Linked DNA regions of Mus musculus: regions 2, 3, 4, 5 and 6 are each reported to be linked to region 1. The links are microRNA targets in miRTarBase. Many come from high-throughput screens and were not tested one by one. Region 1 holds a microRNA gene; each other region holds the end of a gene's coding sequence.

Region 1 (4,108 bases):
TAATTTTATAAAATATTTTTAGTGCTCCTGCCTTTTTTGAGATGAAGTAGAGCTCTCTGCAACCTTAGCTGTCCTAGTATTTGCTCTGTACACCAGGCTGGTCTTGAACTCACAGAAATCCACCTGTCTCTACCACCCGACTGCTGAGATCAAAGGTGTGCATTGGTGGTCAGGTGTGGAATTCCCATATGTGGCTTTATGTGCTAACTCAAAAAAAATCAGATTTTAAGCCAGATATACTGGGGTATGCCTATAATCCTAGCACTCGGGTACCTGAGGCAGGAGGATTCCCATATGCTGTAAGCCAGTATTGGTTGCATAGTGAATACTAGGCCATCCAAGGCTACATAGTAAGACCTTGTCTGAAAGAAACAAAAAACGTTTTAGATTTTAGGTTTTAGGATGAAGGATGCTTAGCCTGGAGAAACTAGAATAATACTGGATTAAGAAAGAAATTTGGGGCTAAACATAGCAGCACAAGCCTTTAAATGCCCGCACTTAAGAGGCAGATCTCTGAGTTCGAGGCTAGCTTGGTCTATGTAGTGAATTCCAGGACAGAAATGGCTACATAATAAGACCCTGTCTGTCTGTCTGTCTGTCTCTCTGTCACACACACACACACACACACACACACCCACACCCACACACACACAAAGGTTTAGTGCTGGTGATACAGCTTAGTTAACAGAGTACTTGTATAATATCACAAAGCCCTGGGCTTAGTTCAAAGCACTGCATAAACCAGGCTCTGTGATATTTATGTTGTGATCTCAGTTCTTAGGATCACACACACATAACAGAATAAGGAGGATCAGAAGTTCAAAGTCAGCTGGGTGTGGTGGCGCACGCCTTTAATCCCAGCACTCAGGAGGTAGAGGCAGGTGGATTTCTGAGTTCGAGGCCAGCCTGGTCTACAGAGTGAGTTCCAGGACAGCCAGGACTACACAGAGAAACCCTGTCTTGAAAAAACAAAACAAAAACAAAGCAAAAAACCAAAAAAAAAACAAAAAAGAAGTTCAAAGTCATCCTATGCCACAGACCCTCTGGGTCCCTTTGTCTGCGTGGAACGAGTCTCTGGGGCAGGTGGGCAAAGAGTGGGCGAATGAATGACAGACAGACGAAACACAAGAGGTTGTGTAGAATCTGAATGTAATTTGTCAAATTGCGCATCAAACTTTTTATACAGAAGAAAATAGGGAAGTTAGGTGACACATGGGCAAGGTACAAATGAGGTTACCGGATGCTTAATGACTCTTACACAAAACAGAGGAATGTAAACACAAAGACTGGCAGGAACTGGGCAATAAAATAACTGAGACAAAGTCAGCTCTATCTAAGGTCAGCTATAGTTTTAGGAGCCAGGTGTGAGATCTTTTCACTCCTAGGGCAAGGGCTTTCACACATAAGTCATGGTTCTGATTAGGGAGTTCCGATCTAGCTAACCATCTCATGAATAATGCAATACTCTAAAACCACAGCCTGATCTACTTCCTAAACCATTGTAAATTCCTGCATATGGGAGCAACTTGGCTTTTATTCTAAGTGATAGTGTAATACCAGAGGCAATTCTCAATATCACTGAATAGGCAACATTCTTACTAAATTCCAAGCCCATGGTCAGCTCAAGGACTTTCTAGGATGTTGGAACACTGGCGAAGGCTTAGCTATGTCAGAATTCAATCTTAAAAGGCACTTATAATAAGATAATACTAAAAGAGAGCATGTGGATCCATACACCAGACTAACGCGGAAATAGGGTATGAGTATATGGGTTTAATGAGAACACCAAAACTCCAGGAGGTGAGTTTCCATGAAACTCTTTGCCTCGTGAGCGCTTCCAGGCCTCTCGGCCTGCCAAGCAGATTTCAGCGGACTGTGCGTGGCAATCCTAGCTACATAGGAAGATGGAGACCAGTCTGGGCTACATAGGAGACTTGTATCAAGGTGCACAGGGGGTGGGGGTGGGGCACAGGTGGAGAGATGGTTCAGTGGGCAAGAGCACTTAGTAACAAGAGCAAGCATGAAGACCTGAGTTCAGAATCCAGCACCATGGGAGAAGTATGCCTGTAAGTCCCATGCTGGGAAGGTGGCAAGGTGATGCCAGGGTAGTTGGGGCTTGGAGGCTAGCCAGATTATCCAAAAACTGTGAGCGACAGATTTAGTGAGAGACCTTGGCTGAAGGAAATGAAGTCAAAAGTGAGAGGAGGATGGACCAAGTAGGCTGTTCAGGGATTAATGATAGCAATGATGGTGGATTCTTTTTTTTCTTTTGTTTATTTTGTTTGTGACAGTTGTCTGTTATGTGTTCCTGGCTGGCTTGGTACTCATGTGTAGCCCAAGCTAGCCTCTAACTCATGGCAGTCATCCTGTCTCAGTCTCCTAAGAGCTGCTACTATAGGTTTGAGCCTCCACATCTGTTCTGAATTATGGATCTCCAATCACCAGGGACCTCGGTTCTTGCTATTTTCCAGCCTTTGACACGGACCTGTGTTTTGCTTCCAGGAACAGTTGTTGAAACTGTTTCACTTTCATATTTACATCGTATGTGGAAGGAAGGAAGGAGGAAAGGGAACAGGGAATAGTAGTAAGGAGAACCTTCCTTTCTTTTGAGAACATGTTCTGCTGACTCTGGTGGTTCCTGCCTGTAATCCCAGCACTCAGAAAGCTCACACAGGGCTGGAGAGGTGCCTCCGCAGTTAAGAGCACTGGCTGCTCTTCCAGAGAACCGGGATTCAGTTCTCAGTGCCCACCTGGCAGCTCACAACTGTCTGAACTCCAATTCTGGGGCATCTGATGCCCTCCTCTGGCCTCCACAGGCACCAGGCATGCATGTGGGACACAGACATACATGCAGGCAAAACACCTGTGCATGTAAAATAAATAGATAAATAAAAATTAAAATAAAAACCTTAGGAGGATTGTGATTTTGAGGCCAGCTTGGTTTAAAAAAATAAAATCAAACCAAAACAGTCATAACAGGTGGTCTTTATTCCAAAGAGATGGAGGCACAGAGATCTCCTTGAGCTTGAGCCAAAGATACATAGGGGGACCCTCTCTCAAAACAAAGAAATCGTTAATAAGGGCTGGAGAGATGGCTCAGTGGTTAGGAGCACTAACTGCTCTTCCAGAGGCCCTTTGTTCAATTCCCAGCAACCACATGGTGGCCCACAACCATCTGTAATGGGATCTGATGCCCTCTTCTGGTGTGTCTGAAGACAGCTACAGTGTACTCATATAAATAAATAAATCTTTAAAAAAAAGTGGATGGTGGCTGACAATGTTTAAAAACAAAGAAATCATAATAATAAAGACTTAAGTTATACTTAACAATTCTAGATACAGATTAACCACCTGAGCTGTGCCCAGTGATGCTATTCCTAGCTACTTGGGAAACTGAGGTAGGATTCTTTCCATTAAGGAATCAAGACTCAGTCTCAAAAAAGAACACTGGGGCTAGATGTGGTGGTGGTGCATGCCTTTAATCCCAGCACCAGCAGATCTCTGCGAGGTTGAGGCCCCCCTGGTCTCCATAAGTTCCAGGACAACAAGGGTTACATAGAGAGATCCTGACTCAAAACAAAACAAAAAGAAAGAAAAAAAAAAAAAGAAAAGCGTTGTGGGTCTCAATCCTCTGTGCAGCTGCCCTTGGTTGGGGGCTGTCCTGCACTTCAGGCAGAAGAGCAGTGGCTGGAAAGAGGATGAAAAGGCTCTGGGGTCGCTCAACTCCAGTCTCCAGTTGGTTAGGAAGAGCAGAAAGTGCATGCTAGGAGACGAGCACACTCTGAAGAGGACCAAACAGGGAAAAATAAAATTGGTTACTCTTTCCAACATACCCATCTTTGAGGCGATCTGAAATAGAGTACCATTAGTCCATGGTGGCCAAAACTGTTGTGTGTCACTACAGTGGCACAATGTGTGGAAAATCATTACAGAGTATGCACACTAGTTTTGTTGACCCTGGCATTCTGATATTATAACAGACTGGTGAAACGCAAACCTGGAAAGTTTTTCTTTTCTTTTTCTTTTAATTTATTTTATGTATGTATACATAAATGAGCACAGTATCTGTCTTCAGACGCACCAGAAGAGGGCACCAGATCCCATTACA
Region 2 (4,108 bases), not on the chromosome of region 1:
TTCCAGCTGTTGTCGAGGAGATCCATTCACTGATAGAGAAAAGCCGGAGGCTAATCATCGTTCTCAGCCAGAGTTACCTGACTAACGGAGCCAGGCGTGAGCTCGAGAGTGGACTCCACGAAGCACTGGTAGAGAGGAAGATTAAGATCATCTTAATTGAGTTTACTCCAGCCAGCAACATCACCTTTCTCCCCCCGTCGCTGAAACTCCTGAAGTCCTACAGAGTTCTAAAATGGAGGGCTGACAGTCCCTCCATGAACTCAAGGTTCTGGAAGAATCTTGTTTACCTGATGCCCGCAAAAGCCGTCAAGCCATGGAGAGAGGAGTCGGAGGCGCGGTCTGTTCTCTCAGCACCTTGAGCTCCAGACGAGCTTGATGTCAAAAGCAAGTGAAGCGCTGCTAGAGGTCATGCGTGTGCCTATTCACAGCGGTAGCTGTGGTTCAAAAGGCTGAATTTTGTGACTATACCCCCCACTCCCAGTTAGGAGAGTTGTCATCGGGTCATCACAGATGAAACAGAGCCTTGGTTGTGATCCTGAACTCGCAGAGGGGGCCTTGGGATTCACAAGAAATCAGTTTGTTATTCTTTCTTCCTCTGGAGCAGTGATTCCCAACCTGTGGGTTGTGGCCCCTTTGGCAAACCTTTATCTCCAAAATAGATGTACGCTATGATTCATAACTGTAGCCAACTCACAGTTACAAAGTAGCAACGAAAAAAGTTTTATGGTTGGGGGTTTCACCACAGTGTGAAGAACTGTATTAAAGGGTTGAAGCATTAGGAAGGTTGAGAACCGCTGGCCTAGAGCTGTCTGCATACCGTTCCATTCAGCCAAGATGGAGGTAGGCTGGCAAACTGATTTATGCCCCTAAATAAGGCACCTCTTCAGAATTTTTCAACTAACAGTGGATTCCAACTGGAGAATTTTATGCGCTCCGAGGCATTTTCTATGAGCCAATCTTTACTGCATCTCAAGGGTACATGGCTCTCTCCCAGGCTTGGGAGGTGCAAGAGGTGAGAGAAAAAGCTGGAAACACAAGAGAAATGGGATGAGAGAAAGCTCCAGGAACTTGGCTTCAGGATGAGTTTGGTGTTGCAAGGTAGTTCTTAGAAAGTCAGTCAGACGTCAAGCAGGACTTCCTTGTTTCTTCAACCTTTTCGTACATCCTTTGAAATGGAACCTGCGATATCGTTTATTGCAGACAGAAGTTTAAATTCAGAGAACTCAGTGGGCCTTTCAACTTTAGTGGCTTTAAGTTTTTGTTGGCTTTGTGTAAATGTTTATCTGTAGGATCATACTAGCTGCTAAACTGTAGCAAACAATCAACAAATGCTTGCTGTTTTTATGAGCCAATTCTGGTGCCCTGGGCATGCAGGCAGTTTTGGTGTGGCAGTTGACGGTGTGGTATGTGCAGCCAAATTTGATGGACAATCTTGGATTTTGTGAGCTCTGGAATTTTATCCAACTTCTCATACTTCAGTTTACTCATTTCTAAAATCAGAGTTTAAAGTAAATACAGCTAGTTCCCAAGGGCACTAAAGACTACTCTGTAAACATGGCTCTTATTGTTGATGGCAGTAACTGCTCTCATTCATTGGCTCAGTGATTCCACAGTAGAGGGAATGGGAGCCAGAGAGCAGGTTGGGAAATGGGTCTACAAATAGGAGCAACAAGTGGAGAGGGCAGAGGAGAAACATAGCAGTAGAAGAAACACAATATACATAAGCATACACACATAAACATACATACATACAAAAACACACATACAAACAGAAACACACATAAACACAAACATAGAACCGCACACACAGAAACACATACAAACATACATACACACACATACACACACACACACACACACACACACACACACACACACACACACAACACCTCCTGCTGAAATATGCATCTCTCGGCACTGGAAGATACTTTTGTTTCTCTAAAGAGAGTTGTCACACTGGGGCCTCCTCCATGGTTCAAAACAGTAGCTGTCTGTGGGAATTGCCCCCCGCTCCCATGTGTGTGTGTGTGTGTGTGTGTGTGTGTGTGTGTGTGTGTCTGTCTGTCTGTGTGTGTGTAGGTGTATGCTACCCTTGCATAAAAAAGAAGATTCAGAGAAGCCCAAAGCTTCTTGTGACCTTGCAAGTGCCTGAGTGAAGCAAGAATATTCTAGGGAAGTCTAGAGCAGAGACTGTGCTGAACAAACACAGTAGATTTTAGGAAAACCAAACCAAACCAAATGAAAGGAAAGGAAACAGAAAAAAAAACAAGAAGAATGGGGATTCTTAAGTAATTTTTGTAACTCATGACTTCATGTGCTATTTGACTGACTTGAGAAAAGAAGGTAAATTCATTCAACATCTGCTGTCACAACAGCTGTGTGTGAAAACCTAGCATCAGAAGAGAGTTGGGAGAGTTTGAGACTTCGCTTTGTTCTTCTATCAGCCAAGCTTCGACACATGAAGTTTATTTTATATGAAATATATTTTGTATTAAATCTGCCAAATACATACATTAGACTGGAGATGTCTCTTGATGTCCTTTTCATTTGTCCTGAGGTTTCTTGACATCCTTTTCCTTTGTTTTGGTGAACACTGCACTGCCTGGTTTTCACCATGGATCCCCACCTGCTGTAAGGAGCTGAGGGAAATTTAATACAGCCCATCTGCAACTATCGCTTTAAAATCCTGTGTGTATATTTTTGAAAAATTTACTCTTTAAGAACGTCATATTTTATACAGTGAAATATTATACCCACACCCATTCTCTCTTGCCACCTCTCCCCAACATGTACCCCACGTAATTATCGCCCTCAGTTTTGAAATAACCTAAGTCCAGTTAGTGTTTCCTGTAGATGCAGCATGGGGCCACCCACTAGAACATGCACACACTAACTAGGAACCACAATTACAAAGAAGACCGATTCTATCTCCCCCAGCAGCTATCATCTGCCAACAGTTAGAGCCAGAAACCTCATGACATCTTTCCCATGGATGCTGCAGTGTTGGCTGGTTTGGTCTTGTGCTGCTGTGCAATCTCCAGCTCTCCCATTCTTCCTGCCTCCTCTTCCAGGATGGCCCCTGAGCTTTGGCAGGAGGCAAGGTGGAGCTAACAAAGATGTCTAATCAGGGCTGAGCACTCAGATTCACTTGCTCTCAGAACTTTGATCTGTTACGAGTCTTTCTTTGCATTGACTGCCACTCACCGAAAAAAAAAAGAGAAAGCTTTTTTAATCAAGGCTGAGAGAAGCCAAGGTCCACAGGCATAAACATAGACACTTAAAAGGAGTTTTGACAATATTGGCACTTAGCAACTTAACAATAGTTGGTCCCACCCTACGTGCTATGCTAGCCTTGGCCTTGTGACCATGTTGATAATATCAGGTATGACTTCCCTCCTGTGATTGCACAAGAACATCCTCAAGTACAAGCTGGATGTGGTTGGTTACAGCAAACACTCAGGCCACTAATGGCATTAGGCGTGGCTCAGAATAGGGAAAGAGCAAGGGGTTGTTCAGGGCTCCTTATACGCCATTCAGCTTGGGGTAAAAAGACAAAGCCAGATGAAAGCATTTCCTAAGTGAGACATGACTCTACATAGTATCCCCAAGATACATGGAGGGAAGACTAGAGAGGCGACGATCAGTGACAAGGCAGCCAAGGGACTCACTGAAGTGTGAGTGTGGGTGGAGGCTGCTGGGAAGGATCTCAGGAGCTACCGGCTCCTGAAGTGTGGCTCTGAAGAAGAAATGAAAGCTAGGGAAAATCATATTTTCAAGAAGGAACTTCCATGCGTGTGTGATCTCTAGCACAGTGCAGCGGGGCTGGGGGAAGGAGGCTCTTCAGAGTGACCAAGCCACAGAGCTAACAGGAAACGGTCTATGTGTGTTCTGTGGGAAGGACAGGGCCCCTTTCTACTGCATCCGTGTGCCACAGAAATAGCAGTCAGAGCCCAGGCTGGGAGCTTCCAGCCAACTACTATGTTTCTGGTGGGAGACATATAAACTCAGAGAATGCCACTCCTAGCTTATATATGTAATTGTTACGACCTGGTGTGTGTGTGTGCTCAGTAACGGATAATGAACATGTCAGTGGGCTCTTGTGCTGTTA
Region 3 (4,108 bases), not on the chromosome of region 1:
TTAGGAAAGAGGGAGGCTCTGCCACGTTAGGCAGGGAAACTTTACCCAGGCATGGGTAGGACATTGAGCAGTCAGTAAAGAAATAACAGTGTCCACTACAGCTCATTTTCTTAGTGACTCAACGTAGGCATCCCTGCAGCTAATAATTTTAATTTGTTAAAAATTATATTTACGGTAAAATGCCTTACTGTAACAATCAGGCCTTACTGTTTTCTCAGTATGATTTCTCTTTGCTAAGAGGATACTGATTTTATTTGGCACGGCTGTGTACCTAGCTTCCTTTGCAATTAGACATGTCTATTTAATAAGTGAGGCAGATATGGAGAGAACTCCATTAGAATTTCTGGAAACGTTTGCTTTCCCCATGTGTCTGTAGTGTAGGGCAGGCAGTTTTCTATTTTTTCCCTGTCTTCCACATGGGCATGACATCTGACACAGCAGTAGCCTATAACAAGATAACAGCATCACAGACGGAGCCAACGTGGAAAAAGGCACCCTGTGCAGAAATGCACCCTTCCCTCCACACTGAGGACCACTCACAGGCACAGCATTCTAGGGACCATGCAGCAGCGTGAACTAAACAGAAGTCACGGTATTCACAACACACAGGCCATAGTGTCTCTCTTACCCTGTTAATTAACCTGTTGACTGACTTTGCCGATCAAGATCCATGAACTCCACAGTTATGTGCATTTAAAGGTGCCTTAACTTGGTCCTTAAGAAATGTGCTGAAGAGTGCCTGAGTGTGATTCTTGGCTCCACTTTGGACAAATTAGAACCTTCTAGTATGTATGGAACTGTAAAGAACTGAAGCGGGGATGCTGTGTCAGCTGACACAGAAAACCCCTTAGTATAAGGAAGTAACCATTGCAGGACCCCCTGGACTTCGATTCTGCAGCTGTTTTCTATGTTTTCTCCTAGCACCACCCCTCCCCCACCCCCTTCCCTGGTCAACTTTTAGATTCTCAAATAACACAGCCCTTTCTGTGCTGTATCCTACACTTACATCTGATGTAACACACTGCATCAAAATTATCTGCACAACATTTTGTTTAGTTTTTTGAGACAGGGTCTCTTGTAGCCCAGGCTGGTTTTGAATTTACTATGTAGCCAAGAATGACCTTGGATTTCTGCTCTTCCTGCTTCTGCTCCAAATTCTGGGATTACAGGCATGTGCCACCATGCCCAATTTATCTGCTGCTATCGGGCAGGCAGCATAGAGGGGAATAGCGCTGCTATATCCCACCCCTCTGTAATATCCCTTTACCACTCTTCTCATTTTAAAGTCGGTTTGTTTTTAACTCCTAGTGAAATAATTTGCACAGAACATCATACACAATTTATCTGTTTGTGTGTTGTAGGTCAGAAGGTAATTTTTAGAAGTTGGTTCTCTCCTTCCCTCATGTGGGTTCTGAGGAATTGAACTCAGGCCATCTGACTTCATGGTAAGCACTTAGACCTGCTGAGCCATCTCCTAGCCCTAACAGACATGTTCTTAAACCGGTACTGCCGTTTTCTGGAATGATTATTAAGATGTAAATTCCAGATTCCATCCATAAATTTCTATTTCATTAGGTGCATTTTAAGAAACATGGAAATAGACTTCAGTGGTAAATTATACATTCAGGACTTCTGCAATGAATAGGTTGTTAATGTGCTTTTCAAAGGTTTATACTGCTGAATATATTGAATAATTGCAAGCTGCTTATGACATCTATGTCATGAACACTTGCCATGGTTGCTATGTATGTGAATATGTGAAAAAAATCTCCTATACTTCTTTTTGCTTTTTTCAAGACAGGGTCTCCCTGTGTAGTCTCCTGGGACTCACTAGGTAAACCTGCATGTCCTCGAATTCAAGAGATGTGCCTCTGCCTTCCAAGTGCTGGGATTGCAGGTGTACATCGCCACTGCTCAGCTAAACTTCCTTTTTTTTTCCAGCTCAACTTCTTAGACTCATTTCTCAGTAAAATGAGCAAATCTTCTCAAAAAGGTTTTTATTAGTTAATATAATTTCATACTAAAATTTTATACACTAAATACTTCCACCCATTGCAAGAGATATTAGCATCTTCACACAAGTGTGAAACATTCTTTCTCCATTCAATGTGCTAGCTCTGCAATGCCTTCACAGCACTAACACCAGGCAGAATTTATACGACACAGGGCACCGAAAGCTTGCTCTACCCTCAGGACTGCAATGGAGAGATTCCTCTGAAAGCTAGATGCAAAGACCTTTGTAGTGAGTGCTACGGGAACAGAAGGCAGATAAAGAAAGGGACACCATGCTCACTGCTGAAATAGACTGACTGATAATGCTCTCACTGTGATGGGACCTGCTGTGACAGCTGACAAGTGGTAAAGGAACCCACCCCTGAATGGGTTTGTGGAGTACACACTTGGGGCCCTTAGGGGAAACATCAAGGGGAGCAGCTGGAGTGAAAGTTAACATGGGAACAAAAACCAAAGTCCATCTGGGCAAACAGTGCAAAAGGAATTATTTATAAACCTGACATATGAGCAAACCAAGATGAGAAGGAACTGACAGGGAGCTATTAGAATCTCAGGTTGTTCTTGATTGCCTGAATGCATGGCATCAGGAATGTGGTAACTTTCTGTGAGTAATAAAATGCTTCCATGAGAAAACCCAGCAGATGGAAAGACAGCAAAGTACTGATGCCGGTCTAAACCATCCCAGTGGTGCTGCTCTGCACAGCACAGCACAGCACAGCTGTGTGTCCATGAAAGTGCCTAGGAGCTAGGAACCTGTGAGTGAGGTATGTGTGTGTGTGTGTGTGTGTGTGTGTGTGTGTGTGTGTATGTGTATGTCTCATACAAGGCAACTACCTAAGCCGAAGACTCCTTAGGCAGACAGAATGGAAAACTACTTGGTCAAATAAATAAAAGCTATTTTTGGCATTTAAGTCCAATGTACATGTACAGTCATGTACATCTAATAGCTCCCTGTGCATGATGGGGCAGGCCCAAGTTCCTCAGCACTCTCTGAATGACTGTGGATCCTTGAGGAGGAGGAGGAGCAACGCGAACCCGGCTTACTTGTTTTCAAGCGTATTTCCTGGGGACTAATAGATTCTCTCAAATTAAGAGCAAAGACACCTGACCACAAAGTGCCAACTCCTAGCACCGGAGAGGATCAAACCCCATGGATGAGCGACGTCACTCAGAGACTCTGCCAATCTGCTTCTTTGAAGTCATGCTACTTTTACAAGTGGAAGAAAAAAAAAATCTAGGTTTACACCAAATATGTATTTTTAAAAAGTTAAATCTTTGAAAAACTCTTAGAAGGAATTTTTATAATCCTATATAAAATAAAATCCTGGCTTATAATAAAAGTGTTCAGTGTTTCCAAGCTGTGAAAAACAACATTGAACTGCAGGTAACAGTTTATAGAGATTCCGGACTAGAGTGACAAATGTCATCTCTGTCCCAGCAATGGGGGACTTGTCTAGTTTCACTAGTACACCCCAAACTAGTTAGTGGACAATGAATACCAAGTGGCAATTCTAAACTGCCACCCCATACCTCTACCCAACACTAAGTCAAGTCTGCGGCAGGACTCTTGGACACGGCAGGAGAGGAGGGCACGGCTTCTCGCTCTGACGGGCAAGCTGTAGCCAGCCTTCGGAAGTCCAGTTACTTGATGGTCTGAGAGGCAGGAGCCACAGAGCTTTCTTTTCCAACCTGCAGAGATTCACTGCTGATGGACAGTAACTCTCGAAGTTCCTTATTTTCAAGCTGGGGAGAAAAGATATTTCCTGTGTTTTAATTGTTAAACTATGTCAGAACATACTATTTTGGCCCAGAAAGAGGAAAAAAAAATTTTTTTTTGGCTTTTCTTTTTTAAGATTTATTTATTATTATACATAAGTACACTGTAGCTGTCTTCAGATGTGCCAGAAGAGGGCATCAGATCTCATTATGGGTGGTTGTGAGCCACCATGTGGTTGCTGGAATTTGAACTCAGGACCTTCGGAAGAGCGGTCAAGTGCTCCTATCTGCTGAGCCATCTCACCAGCCCTTTTTTTGGTTTTTCGAGACAGGGTTTCTCTGTATAGCCCTGGCTGTCCTGGAACTCACTCTGTAGACC
Region 4 (4,000 bases), not on the chromosome of region 1:
GAAATGTTCTGGTTCCTATAAAGGACCTGGGCTGAGTGACCCAAACAGTGTGTTCCGGACTCCAGGATTCTAGGGAGTTAACAACTGGATGAGGAGAACGCAGAGCCTCTGAGGGAATGACAGGCCCAGAGCCACATTCTGGGTAGAGGTCTAGAAGATGGACAGGACTTCTGGGAGCCAGTGAGGCTTCGGCCCAGCTGTTAGAGCCACAGCCCCCTCCTGCCCTGTGCCCAAACCCACAACCAGAAGGGCATAGTCTGCTCTCGGGACATTCCATCCCTTGGATTACTTGATGACGTGTCTGTCTCCTACCCTCCGCCAAGCAGGGTACAATTTTCTAAAAGCAGGGGAAAGAAAGGCTTCCCAAGAAAATAAACCGTGTGGAACAACCAACAGTCCCTTTCTGTCACCTATTTGAATGATGTAATTACGATGAAGTCAAAACCTTCATACTAATAACACTAAGCAAGACCTCCAAGCGCACACAAACTGGGGGTCCCTGTTTCTAAAAAGAAAGCAGATGTCATTACATCTGTTATCTGTGTTGGTAACTTTAGATGGGATGACATACGCTCCTTCACCTCTGCGTCCTCTGAACAGAAACTCATAGCAGTCACTGAAGTCGGGGGTGGATACACAAATCCTGCGACAGAGCACAGGACAGGCCACAAGAACAGCAACAATTAGAATCTCAATAATAAATGTCCTTACTAATGCTTCACACCACCCCCCATAGAAAAACAACAGTGAAAGAGAAATTTTCCAGCCTCTGTTGAGGACACCTTGGGTGAATCCAGTTTTGTTTCTGTTGTTAGATGGGACAGTCAGTGATACCTGGCATCATTTAGTAGTCACCCAGGAAGGGGACAAACTCCCTCCCCACCCCCACTTTACCACTTATTTCAGGGATCTTCAAAAAAAAAAAAGCCATTGGCCAGACTGACTGGAGGGCTGACAAGATGTCTCAATGGGTAAGGGTGCTTGTCGGTAAAGACTGAGGTCCAATCCCTGGAGCCCACGCAGCGAGAGGCAAGAACGGAGAAGCTGTGCCACACCTCCCACATATATGACATGGCACATGCATACACATACACACATGCACCAAGAAACCACTTCTTGAAAATGTTTTTAAAGCGAGAGAGGACGCAACACTAATTACAGTATCTGCACTAGTCTGGTTGAGGCCGCAGCAAAAAGACTGCTATTACAGCCTGCTCTAACTTGTTAACTGGATCAGTGTGGAACTATTCACTTCCCATAAATCCTGGACTTTGCTCTTTTGGTCCTTCCGAGGATCAAATGAGATATTATGAAGTATTGAGTCAGAGGCTGGCACACAAGGAACTCAGTAAATATATTAAAAACTATAAAGCAAGAAAACAAAAACAAAACAAAACTGTCCCCTGATGCCTATCAACTTCCTTGCCATCAGGACTAGAGTTAGATAAGGTGATCCATATCACAGCCCCAAGCAGTGAATCTGGGCTCCCAATACACACACACCTGCAGGCGCTGAACGCAACACTCGGGAGCTTGTCATAACTCCACAGGCACAGGGTCTTCTGACTGCCTCCTCACTCCCAATACCTGAGGAACAGCAGGGAGACCTGAAAAGGATTCCACAAAGCCCCTTGCTAGCCCAAGCGTTCTACCAGAGAACCATCATCATCAGTGTGCAAAAGGGAGATCTAAGTATCCTAGCGGGAAGCCTAGTATTGCCCCACCACCCAGCAGAGCGAAGCAGGCTCTTCCCAAGCCACACCCAGCAATCCATCCAGGTTGGATAAACTTAATGTTTCCTTCCTGGTGTAAAACTGGGGACTTCAAACCCTGCAAGGTAAGTCAGTTCTATTATTCTGCACTTTTATAATTTCCTATTCACTTAGAGCGTGCACATGACGCCCCAGGTTCTCCTTTCACCCTGGACACACAGGAACCTACGGCCCGGCCAGGAAACATGTACAGGGCGGCAAGAGGCATAGTGTCTAGACTCTAGAGAAGATGGCATGCTACAGCAGTCGTGAGACTGGGTGGCCAAGAGAAAGCGGCTGCGGAACTTGTTAGAGTTTAGACCCTGACGTAACTTTTATCGCTTCTAAACCATTGCTTTTGAAATGCACAAGGATTGTGCCCATCCGGCCTGCACATGATCAGGCTGTCTTGACGATTCCTAGCCTGTGAACCATGCTTTCTAAAACACATAGAGCAGGTGTGGGCCTTATTTGGAGGCAAGCGAGTTAATGTTCTACCCTGAGCTGATTGCTTAGTTTATTTCACTTGATAATGAGTTTTTATGGCGACCTTTTATTAGCATGGAAATGTACACCTACAACTCAAAGTAATGAGTGCAACTTGTAAAAGTCAGGTTTGTTTTTATTTGATACATTCTAATCAAATAGTAACAGCAGTAAATAAACACTTTGAAAAACAGGCAGGTACCCCTCTATATCTGGAAGAAAAGTTAAGTCATAGGATTCTACATGGTAGAAGGGAGGCAGCTGTTGATGTCCGTGGTCAGACAATTCAAGGATAACTTGGAAAGTTCTAAAGCCATTTCCAAAAATAAAAATAAAAATAAAAACAATGGCACTAGGTTGGGACTCACAGCTACATCAAGGGGTAAAATGTCTCTGTCTGCATTGGTTTCTGTTTTCAAGGATTGAGTTGCACCTGTATAGCGTGACATTCTTGTCTTTAGCCTCAGAAGAAAAGAGAGAAGTCTTTTCTGTTTGCACCAGTTTGAAATGTGTCTGAAGTAAGGCTGCCTTGAGATGGAGGACTACAGTACTCACTCACGGGGGAGGTCATACGTGTAGTAAAAAAAGACAAATACAGGATCTCATGGTGATGGTTCTTTTTTCGTTTCTTTTTTTTTTTTTTTTTTCCTTTTTTTGGTTGATTTGATTAGTTGCATAAGACGAGGGATAAATACAAGCATGGTCAGCTTAACGGAACTCCTACTAGATACATCAGGATGCAAACTATAACAGGTTCTAACACAGACTGAACCCCAGGCGTCTAGAAGTGGAGCTGAAGCCTGGGTCAGCCAGGGTCTTTCCCTCCTTCAGCTGTCCTCCTGGAAATGGAAGCCTTTCTTTCTCTCCTATGGAGCTTGGACTTTTGACCCAGTGCATAGGAACCCAAAAAACAAAGGCAAGTCATTCTGACAGGAATATTCTCTTGCCTTTCCTTGGGACATTTTGTTTTTGTTTTGTTTTGTTTTGTTTTGTTTTGTTTCATTTAAAAGGGCCATTTGATCTTGAGCAGCCATAGGAAAGAAAGCATCATTCAGCTAAAACTACCTAAGGGGAACTTTAAAATACCTAGCTACATCTTCACACCTTTAAGTTAGACTGAGCCCAACTGTCCTTAAGAGAGAATTCTGCGCAGTTATCCAGAGGAGGGCCTCTGGGTTCTCTTTCACATAGCTGCATTCGGAGATAGTCTATATGAGGCATGTGTTTTTTTTTTTTTTAAAAAAAAACGAAAAAGAGAGAGAAATACTTATACCTGGAATTTATATTCTTCCAAGTAATCTTTTAGTCTTGTTGGTAAAGGCAGTCCCCAGATCGTACCGGTACATTTGTTAATGGCGAGTCGACAGAAATGCTGCAGAGTGGGTGCTGATGTATACAGAGGTTTGGTCAGGTACAGGTGAACAGTCCCATTCCGTGGGGCTTCTGGGCCTGTCCGTTTATCCTTGCACATCTGGACATAGTAGTCAATCAGATGAACCACACTGTCAAACTGTTTAAGCTTGGACTTGACACATATGATAGAATCCAATCTGAATTTCCCATCTTGGTACTCAATCCGCAGGTTAGTCGGTCCAGCTGACGTCTTAACGGATATAGTTAGTAGGTAGTCTGAATGCGAACTATCTCTAATCAAGAAAGTTCCTTCTGGAGCCTCTTTTAATTTCTCTTTGGCTTCATTAACAGTCATACTTCCCCAGTACCATCCTGGGGTTTTTCATTCAAAAAAGAAAAAGAAGAGAAAG
Region 5 (4,108 bases), not on the chromosome of region 1:
ACTACTCTTCCTGCATTACCAAGATAATACACCACTTACCTAGCTAGTTGCTAAGAATGTTGCATTCTAAGCCGGGCGTGGTGGCGCATGACTTTAATCCCAGCACTCAGGAGGCAGAGGCAGAGGCAGAGGCAGGTGGATTTCTGAGTTCGAGGCCAGCCTGGTCTACAGAGTGAGTTCCAGGACAGCTAGGGCTACACAGAGAAACCCTGTCTCGAAAAACCAAAATAAAATAAAATAAAATGTTGCATCCTAGTCTGTCTAGTTTACTGCGTCCTTTTAAAAATGAAACTGCTGATTTAAAATCCCACAGTGGGCTTAAGTAGTAGTGCTCCAACTTGTAAAGGTCCTGTATGATGTAACAAAGCTACTAGATTTCCTTGCTTTCCACTGCCCACCTTGGATAAGGAACAAAGGTTTTCCTTGCTTATTATTTCATGAGAATTATTACCTTTGGCAACGTTCTGTTTCAAACATTCTCTCTCACCAATTTTCTGGCCTAGCCCGTTACCTAATTCAAAAGCCCTCACAAGCTTTTTCCAATCTAGATGAAGTGCTCACCCTTCTAACATTATCACTGTGCTCCTAGAACTTACTCCCTTTCCTGCAATTCTGAGTCTGGATGGTAGCTTATTTACTTTATAGTTATATATAAAATAGGGACTCATTTATGTTTCTCTTAAATTACCTTTTTTTTTTTCCTTGTTAGCTTTTAGATCTGTGCATTCTAGCCATCGACTCTTTAGAATTTCAATACAGAATTCTGGCTGCTGCCGCCTTATGTCATTTTACCTCCATTGAAGTGGTTAAGAAAGCTTCAGGTAAGACTATTTTGTTGACTTTGTACCTGTTCACAACTTTTTTTTTTGGTTTTTGGTTTTTTGAGACAGGATTTCTCTGTGTAGCCCTGCTGTCCTGGAACTCACTCTGTAGACCAGGCTGGCCTCAAACTCAGAAATTCACCTGCCTCTGCCTCCCGAGTGCTGGGATTAAAGGCGTGCGCCGCCACACCCGGCTGTTCACAACTTTTAATGGAACTACAGATACCTTAATACCTTACCAAACACAAAATAAAACAATTTAGTTGATTTTTATTTTGCTAAAAGTACTTAACCCTTAGTGTATTTCCATAGTCATAAAAGAAAATAAATTCCCAGCCAAGTGGAAATCAAATACCACAATTTTAATTTGTATGAATAGAAACTGGTTTAAAAGCTTAGAAGTGAGCCTGGAAAAATGGATCAGTGGTTTAAAGCACATACTGTTCTTGGAGAAGACCCAGGTTTGTTTCCTAGCCCTCATATCTTGTTCTAGCTCCAGAATATCTAACACTCTTCTGATCTCTGGGCACTTGTGTACATGTATACACATTCACATAAATATAAATCTTTAAGCAAAAAACAAGAACAAAAAACACCTACCCTCAAGAGAGTCAGATGAGTAGCAAATCCTATAATCCCAGCACTGAGGCCAAATCAAGAGGGAAGCCAACCTGTGCTACAGAATGACCCTTGAGAAAACTATTAATTCTTTTCAGCTTTAACGTCATGTAAGGAACAGTTTGATTAACATTGTATTAACTTTTTAAATCTAGGTTTGGAATGGGATGACATCTCGGAATGTGTAGACTGGATGGTGCCTTTTGTTAGTGTTGTAAAAAGTGTGAGTCCAGTGAAGCTGAAGACTTTTAAGAAGATACCCATGGAAGATAGACACAATATCCAGACACACACAAATTATTTGGCTTTGCTGGTATGGTTTTTTGTTTTATGTGTTTTATGGGAGGTTGTTTTTTTTTTTTTTTTTTTTTTTTTTTGCTGCCTTATCTTTCATTGTTTTTAAAAATCGTGCTATTTAGTTAAGTCCTGAAACTAATGGGGTAGAAGTTAGCAAAGTTTATCTAAGGTCTGAAACTACTGTGCATTACTACTTAAGACAGTTATTTAAGATGATAAATGGGAAAGTAATGACCATGTTGACTTAAAATATAAGGGAGATAACTAAATTAAGGCAGACTTGATGATAAGGGCCTAGGATGCACACTAACTAGTACTAGGGAGGCTGAGGCAGGAGGATCATAAGTTCCCAGGCCACATAGTAAGACCCTATCTCAAGAAAAATATTACTGTTAAGCAGCTTAAAATCAAGACCAGCAGCCCAGATAAGAAATTAGAAAGTTTTGTTGAAATAAACAAGGCTGATCTCTAACTCGGGGATCCCTCTGCCTCTCAAGTGCTAAGATTAAAGGTATGTACCACCCCCCAGCCCCCAACAAAGATAGAGACTCTAAAATTAAGTTTGGATAGAAAAAATTGGTAGAGGTCTGGTATTACTACATACTTAGTTTATCTTAACTGTTAATTACTGAATAATTTCTTCACATGTACAGAATGAAGTAAACTATGTGAACATCTACAGAAAAGGAGGGCAGCTGTCACCAGTGTGTAATGGAGGCATTATGACACCACCAAAGAGTACTGAAAAACCACCAGGAAAACACTGAAGTTAACAACCTGGAATTGAACAAATAATGGATAGTTTCATATAAATGAGTTTTACAGAAAAGTAGTGCTGTAACTATCCTTGTCTAAGGAGTTACACTGCCATTCTTTTACTTAAAAACTATATCAATTTGGCACTAAATGCCTAGGATGCACAAAATCCTGGGTTCAATCCCCAGCACTACAAAAGGAAACAAAACAAAAACTTCAAAAAATTGGCACTAAAGAAGTATTTCCTATAAAAGAGAACTTGTTTACAAAGGTGACTTCACTCCCAAGGATAGTGGATGGAAGCCAACAATTTAAGCTATAGCAGTTGTTTCTGTTTGTTACTGTGTTTCTTTAAAATTCAGTGTTACTGTATTTCTTTTGATGAACTAGGAATTTTATCATTGGAATATGGACTAAACTAGTGCTACCTTAAAGGATACATTAGCTGACACAGAACTTTGAATCTAGATTTTATATTCTTAAATTCCTATACTCTTGAATGGTGCAATTTGTTTTTGAAAATAAATTTTAAGCTTATTTACAAAGGTTGTTTTGTAATAAAGTGACTAATTTATCTAAAGCAGTTTGTAACAAACGATAAAACTTGAATTTTATGAATGGTAAAGTTCAATCTGTTTTGAACTAGTTTGTCTGCCTTGCCATATTTCTTAATCAGTAAGGCACTGAACCAAATGTTTAAACTGTGCTCTAAATGGGAGAACCAAAGAAATTATAAACAAGATATAAATGCTTTGGCTTCTTCTACTCGGGGGTTTTACTTGATAGAAAGGTTGCTTTATAATCTTTTTGTGTATCACAATTTGGGTAAAATTAAACACTTTTTCAAACTATATAAGAAAGTCACTTTATTGCACACTAAGATATCTCTAAGGCGCTTTATGTTTGCAAAACTGGTGGTCCATTTTTAAGCCCCATATTATGAGATGAGGACTGTGTCAACATGAAAAAACTTTAACATATGACCTAAACTATTTTCTTATGGCAGAAAATATTAAATGTATACTTACTCCTAGAAATTTATTTATTTAAACTTGCTGTATATAGAATAGCTACTTATACATTAAATATTTTAAGTTAGCCTTTGAAAAGGAAATTTGGGCCTAAAAAAGTTAATTTCATTAGAAAAAAAATGGTACCAGGCATGAACCTTGTCTCTCTTTGAAGAAATTATAAACTATTGTTAAGATATGAAGTTTTTGTATAATTTGTTTATAAACTAATTTGTTTCAGTTTGTTTTGGTCTAAAAAGAAAACACCACTAAATTGTACATATGTATTATATAAACTTAATCTTTTAATACTGTTTACTTTTAGCCCACTGTTTAAAAAATAAAATTGAAAAAAAATTAACTAACTGCTTAAAAGTAAAGTTTTGCCATTGCTTGTAGAAACTTCTTTTTCCTTCTCTGTGCTGCCAGCTGTAATACTTCTTCAGGGTTGCTTGCATTCAATTCTGTTTGGCCAATGGCTTTGATCTTAAAACAGAAAAGTGTTATTAGAAGTTTGACTGAAAAAAATTGTCACAGTAGTACACATAACTCAAAGTTAAAGTTAACTAAATCAAATTAAAAACTACAGAAAAAAATGGCATCACA
Region 6 (4,108 bases), not on the chromosome of region 1:
GCCAAGCTGGCTGGAAGAGGTTTAGACAAGAGTCACTTGGAAAGGACAGTCTCCAACCTGTTGTAATGCCTGTTTGTGAGTCACTTCTGCTCCTGTAAGTACCCTCTCACCGGCATTCCTGGAAGTAACCCACAGTAAAATTCATTAGTTCATTAGTTCAGTCAGAGTCAAAGTGGTCCAGCCACTGGCTCTGGCCACAGTCACTCCATTATTACAAAAACTCCACCCACAGTTTGCTCTTTCTAACCTTGGAAATCAGCATTTGAGCATTTGAGTTTATTCTTTTCCAAACAATTCTCTTTCCTTTGTCTTTTTTTTTTTTTTTTTAGATGAAAGGTATACAACATGAGCTTAACCGATGGTTACACTGTAAGACTTAGTGGCCATTGCTCCAGCAAAAGTGTTGTGCATAACCATATTTATCAAATCCCAAGCATCCCCAGCAGACACTGCTTCCTGTTTCTGTCTCCTGAAACTCTGGCCACCTCCATTTTCCCAGGTTAACTCTGAGCAGCTTGGCTCAGAGCTCCTGGCACAATTTCCTATTTATTGTGTAGACGTCCCAACTCCAGTGCATCTTCCTTCTTGTATTAGCCGCGCTGACTGAGTGATGCCAATCCCATCCACAGATACAGGCAGCCATCAGCACAGCATGGGCTCTGTCTTTGCATCCTTCAGGAGGAGATGGGGAAGCACTACTAACTTATGAAGAATTGGTACTAGGCCACTGATGAATGTTTGCTCCCTTCCTCCTGGAGATGGGTAAATGGCACTTGGATAAGACCCTGTGTTAGGGTGGACATTTATGTGCTGGTACTGGTCTTTCTGGTGTAAAAAGCTCCATGTTCCCCCTTCTATTCATCAGGTAACATGGCAGCTAGTGTTACCCTTGAGGGGAACACATGACATGAGGCATAGAAATAACTCTCCATGACAGACAGAATACAAAGGACAAAGGGTCACCCTTTCCTCTTAGCTGAAAGTGCAGTTGCTGAGATTGTAATGATAATGGCGGGGGGGGGGGGAGAGAGTGGGAGGATGTCAATGGCTATTAGTGTGGCATGTTTGGATGCTGCCAGCAATTTTTGCTGTCGCTGGGCTGCTCCTATGCCTGTAGAGGAAGGAGCGGGGCATTGGCAAGGAGGTCCAGCAGAGTGCTAAGGCTGTGTCCAGGAGCCAAGTCCCTGAGCAGGAGAGATTCCAGTAAGGAGGTGAAGGGTCACACAGCTCGCCCAGGTGCCAAGGACATGCTGATTGCCCACTTTGGCAGTCTTTCCACCCTGGACTTGCTTGGCCTTTCTGTTCCTGTCATTTGGCTTCCCTCCCAAGTGGGTACAAAATGAGTAAAACCATCTGGTTTTGGGTGTTTTGTGTCTGACTTTCCCTGGGAATGTGAATGAACATCTATTCTCATCATCCAGGCACTATGACAGACCCAAGCAACTAAGTAACCAAGCAACCAAACACAGATCCACCCGAGTCAAGTTTGATGAAACAGTTTATTGGAGCACAGGAGCACAGCTGAGGGATTACTTACAGGAGCACGGGTTGCCCAGGCAGTATGGCCATTGCATTGGTAATGACTTACAAACCTCCAACCCTGGGGTTCCTAAGAGGCTTCTCTCTGCTGATAAATGTTTACTGCCTGGGTGACATCAGAGAGGAACGCTCTCCAGAGTCTCCTGGGCCTCTGTCAGCCCCCTAAAAGGGGAAGTTTCAATTCAGACCAGAGAGATACAGGGTATCCCACCCACTCCAGATCTTAAATCTTTATGCATCCGCTTCCATAACTCTTCCAAGCCTTGGAGCAGGTGATGTGTGTGTGTGTGTGTGTGTGTGTTTGTGTATATCCATTTTCTTCCATTTATGACCCAATATCGGATTATATCAAAGGATCAGTCAGTTATGCTCAGCAATCAGGGAAATTATGAGTCTCTGGAGTGACTACCTCTCACTGTGAAAAAGGCTCCCTTTACAAGTGATGCTGGTACAGCAGTCATTGGGCATAAAAAGAAATGAAGGCAAGCTGATAAAAGTTTATATCTGCTTAATAAAAACTAAAACAATAGTACTAGTCTTCTTACTATGGCCTGTGGCCTGCACATCACATAATTTTGTCTTGATTTAGAATAATCAATGGGAATATCCACCTATGGAGGCCTTAATCAGAAAGTATGTGTGTGCAAACATAACAATGCCACTATAACACTACAACATACATCTTCCCGGCAAGTAACAACACAGCACAGGGAGCAAGACTGTCTCTACAATTGTCCCTCAGCAGCCTGGATCGAGCCTCTTGGCACTAGAAACCCAGCGAGCACACAAGGCTGTTCCAGGTCACTCTCTGTTGATTCTTCTGTGTCCTGAAACCAAACAGGTCATGTCCTCAGCAAGGAGTTCTCCAGTTCCAACATGCAACCAAAAGCAGTGGAAACCACATCTGTGATTTGATGTCCCTCTGGGCCTTTCCTTAACAATTCTGGAAGTCTCTTATGCCTAGCAGGGTCATCTTCAGCCAACAACTTTATTAGTTCTGAGACTGCCTTTCTCCACTCTACAGTGCTGTTCCAACTCCTGAACTGCCATTTTAACTTTTTACAGAGGAAATCCAGGAGCACTGGAAGCCCACTGATGTCCAACCTACTCGAGTGCCAGTTGGTCCAGGCATTTTCCCTAGGGTGACATATTCATACAATTCCTGATCCCATTTCATCTTCATGAATCCCCAAGTACATTTCATGCATTTAATTGTGCTTTCCCATAAGACTGGGACCAAGAGGCCAGGAGGGATCATTCCACCAGGAGAGGCCATTCAAAGTTACTCTCACTGCATCAGAGGTCCCCTTCCTCCCTCTGCACAGAGGTGGCTTAGGTGTAAGTTACAGGCTTCGTTGCTCCAGTGCTCTCAGTGCAGCCACCCTGATCTGTGCTGTGCCTCTACCAGTGGAGGCTCCATTTCTACACAAGTCTTAGATTTAAATCCTGTGAGCTGCTGGAACTTCAGCTCAGCAAGGTTGCTTGCCTTGAAGTCTTGAGACCACCTAGCTGATACTGACAGCTAACAGATTCCTAAGTGAACTGTGTGCAGGATGGACTCAGTTGGGTTTTGTGCTATCTTATCATGGCACTAGAAAGACGAAAGAGAGATACTTAAAAAGGCAGAATGGAGCCAACACCCACAGGTCACCACCAGCATGGCTGCATCTGAAAGGAGTGCAAAGGGAGCCCTTGGGATTGGTACTGGGAAACTGCCAGGAGTGGCTTGTTCCTAGAGCAGAGTGAACTGAAGCCTTCTGGACACACAAATCAAAAAAGGATCACATCCTTTGTGTAACAGGAAATATTAGAGAGAAGAAGAGACACAGGGCAGGAGACAAAATCAAAACTATAGGAGAGGATGAGAAGCCAGAAGCACACAGTCCTGGGAGCCATATATATTGGGAATTTATTGGATAGATGATTAAATAATAAATAGGGTATGTTTGCCCCATCTAGGTGTGTAGCCTCAGTTTATTTCAATTGAGTTTTGAATTCATTGTGGGGACATTTTGTGGGTTGAGAATTTATTAATTTAAATCTGACTGATAAATCACAAGCCTCTAGACTTTTGATTTTACCAGGTTACAATCCCCAGCAAGAGATCCTCAAGATGGGCAGTTGCTACATAGGACAAGCCATGGAGGCAGTGAGACCACTGGGGCCAGAGAGTACCTGGTGCTAGCATGGAATGGGACCTTTTTTTAAATATTTCCCACTATACCCTGGTCCTGAAGCAAAAGGGAGAGAGTAAGAGAATTGAAGAATAGAAAGACCCATTAACTTCTTGCTTATACTGACAAAGTACTGGCCTGTCTTCTGGAAGCCCATGGCCTGGTAGAGAGCCTGAGCACTATGTTGCACACTGCCAGTCTCAAGGACAACATCACTGTAACCCTGGTCCCGAGCAAACTGGAGGACAGTTCTGACCAGTGCCTTTGCTATTCCCTGTCCTCGATGCTGTGAGGACACAGACAGGCGAAAGAGCTGCATCTGCTTCTTCCCTAATGGAGGGTCCTTGACTGGCTGAGCACCCACCATGCCAACTACCTGGTCTCCAGACTCAGCC

What was found. Region 1 holds the annotated microRNA mmu-miR-1198-5p (UAUGUGUUCCUGGCUGGCUUGG, at 2,300-2,321, shown strand). A microRNA usually pairs through its seed, bases 2 to 8, with sites in the 3' UTR of a target mRNA and lowers its output. Matches are read on the target gene's strand: a 7mer-m8 pairs with bases 2 to 8, a 7mer-A1 pairs with bases 2 to 7 and ends in A, and an 8mer does both.
Region 2: the mRNA of Il18r1 is a reported target of mmu-miR-1198-5p. Seed matches in the 3' UTR shown: 7mer-A1 at 1,731-1,737, 7mer-A1 at 1,759-1,765, 7mer-A1 at 1,777-1,783, 8mer at 1,812-1,819 and 7mer-A1 at 1,835-1,841.
Region 3: the mRNA of Sike1 is a reported target of mmu-miR-1198-5p. Seed matches in the 3' UTR shown: 7mer-A1 at 2,819-2,825 and 7mer-A1 at 2,779-2,785.
Region 4: the mRNA of Socs2 is a reported target of mmu-miR-1198-5p. Seed matches in the 3' UTR shown: 7mer-m8 at 3,457-3,463.
Region 5: the mRNA of Ints8 is a reported target of mmu-miR-1198-5p. The part of its 3' UTR that is shown has no 7-base or 8-base seed match.
Region 6: miRTarBase lists Nat8f2 as a target of mmu-miR-1198-5p. Seed matches in the 3' UTR shown: 7mer-A1 at 2,174-2,180.

Annotation. Positions count from the first base shown.
Region 1 is chrX:7,804,843-7,808,950 of GRCm38, forward strand. Mir1198 (microRNA 1198) reads left to right here and starts at 2,259; the gene lies at 2,259-2,379. The region is part of intron 14 of Gripap1 (GRIP1 associated protein 1); the gene reads left to right.
Region 2 is chr1:40,498,332-40,502,439 of GRCm38, forward strand. Il18r1 (interleukin 18 receptor 1) reads left to right here. Exons shown (of 11, transcript NM_008365.2): 11 at 7-2,523. The coding sequence ends at 359. Among named protein-coding and RNA genes, the nearest start is that of Il18rap, 15 kb to the right of the region's middle.
Region 3 is chr3:103,001,356-103,005,463 of GRCm38, reverse strand. Sike1 (suppressor of IKBKE 1) reads right to left here. Exons shown (of 5, transcript NM_025679.3): 5 at 1,550-3,756. The coding sequence ends at 3,655. Among named protein-coding and RNA genes, the nearest start is that of Sike1, 7.7 kb to the right of the region's middle.
Region 4 is chr10:95,409,149-95,413,148 of GRCm38, forward strand. Socs2 (suppressor of cytokine signaling 2) reads right to left here. Exons shown (of 3, transcript NM_007706.4): 3 at 2,342-3,962. The coding sequence ends at 3,505. Among named protein-coding and RNA genes, the nearest start is that of Gm33230, 3.0 kb to the right of the region's middle.
Region 5 is chr4:11,200,596-11,204,703 of GRCm38, forward strand. It overlaps Ints8 (integrator complex subunit 8), which reads right to left. Exons shown (of 27, transcript NM_001159595.1): 27 at 2,333-3,988. The coding sequence ends at 3,872. It overlaps Ccne2 (cyclin E2), which reads left to right. Exons shown (of 12, transcript NM_001282943.1): 10 at 710-821; 11 at 1,595-1,752; 12 at 2,390-4,108. The coding sequence ends at 2,503. Among named protein-coding and RNA genes, the nearest start is that of Ccne2, 11 kb to the left of the region's middle.
Region 6 is chr6:85,863,942-85,868,049 of GRCm38, forward strand. Nat8f2 (N-acetyltransferase 8 (GCN5-related) family member 2) reads right to left here. Exons shown (of 3, transcript NM_053096.3): 3 at 1,481-4,108. The coding sequence ends at 3,721. Among named protein-coding and RNA genes, the nearest start is that of Nat8f2, 3.1 kb to the right of the region's middle.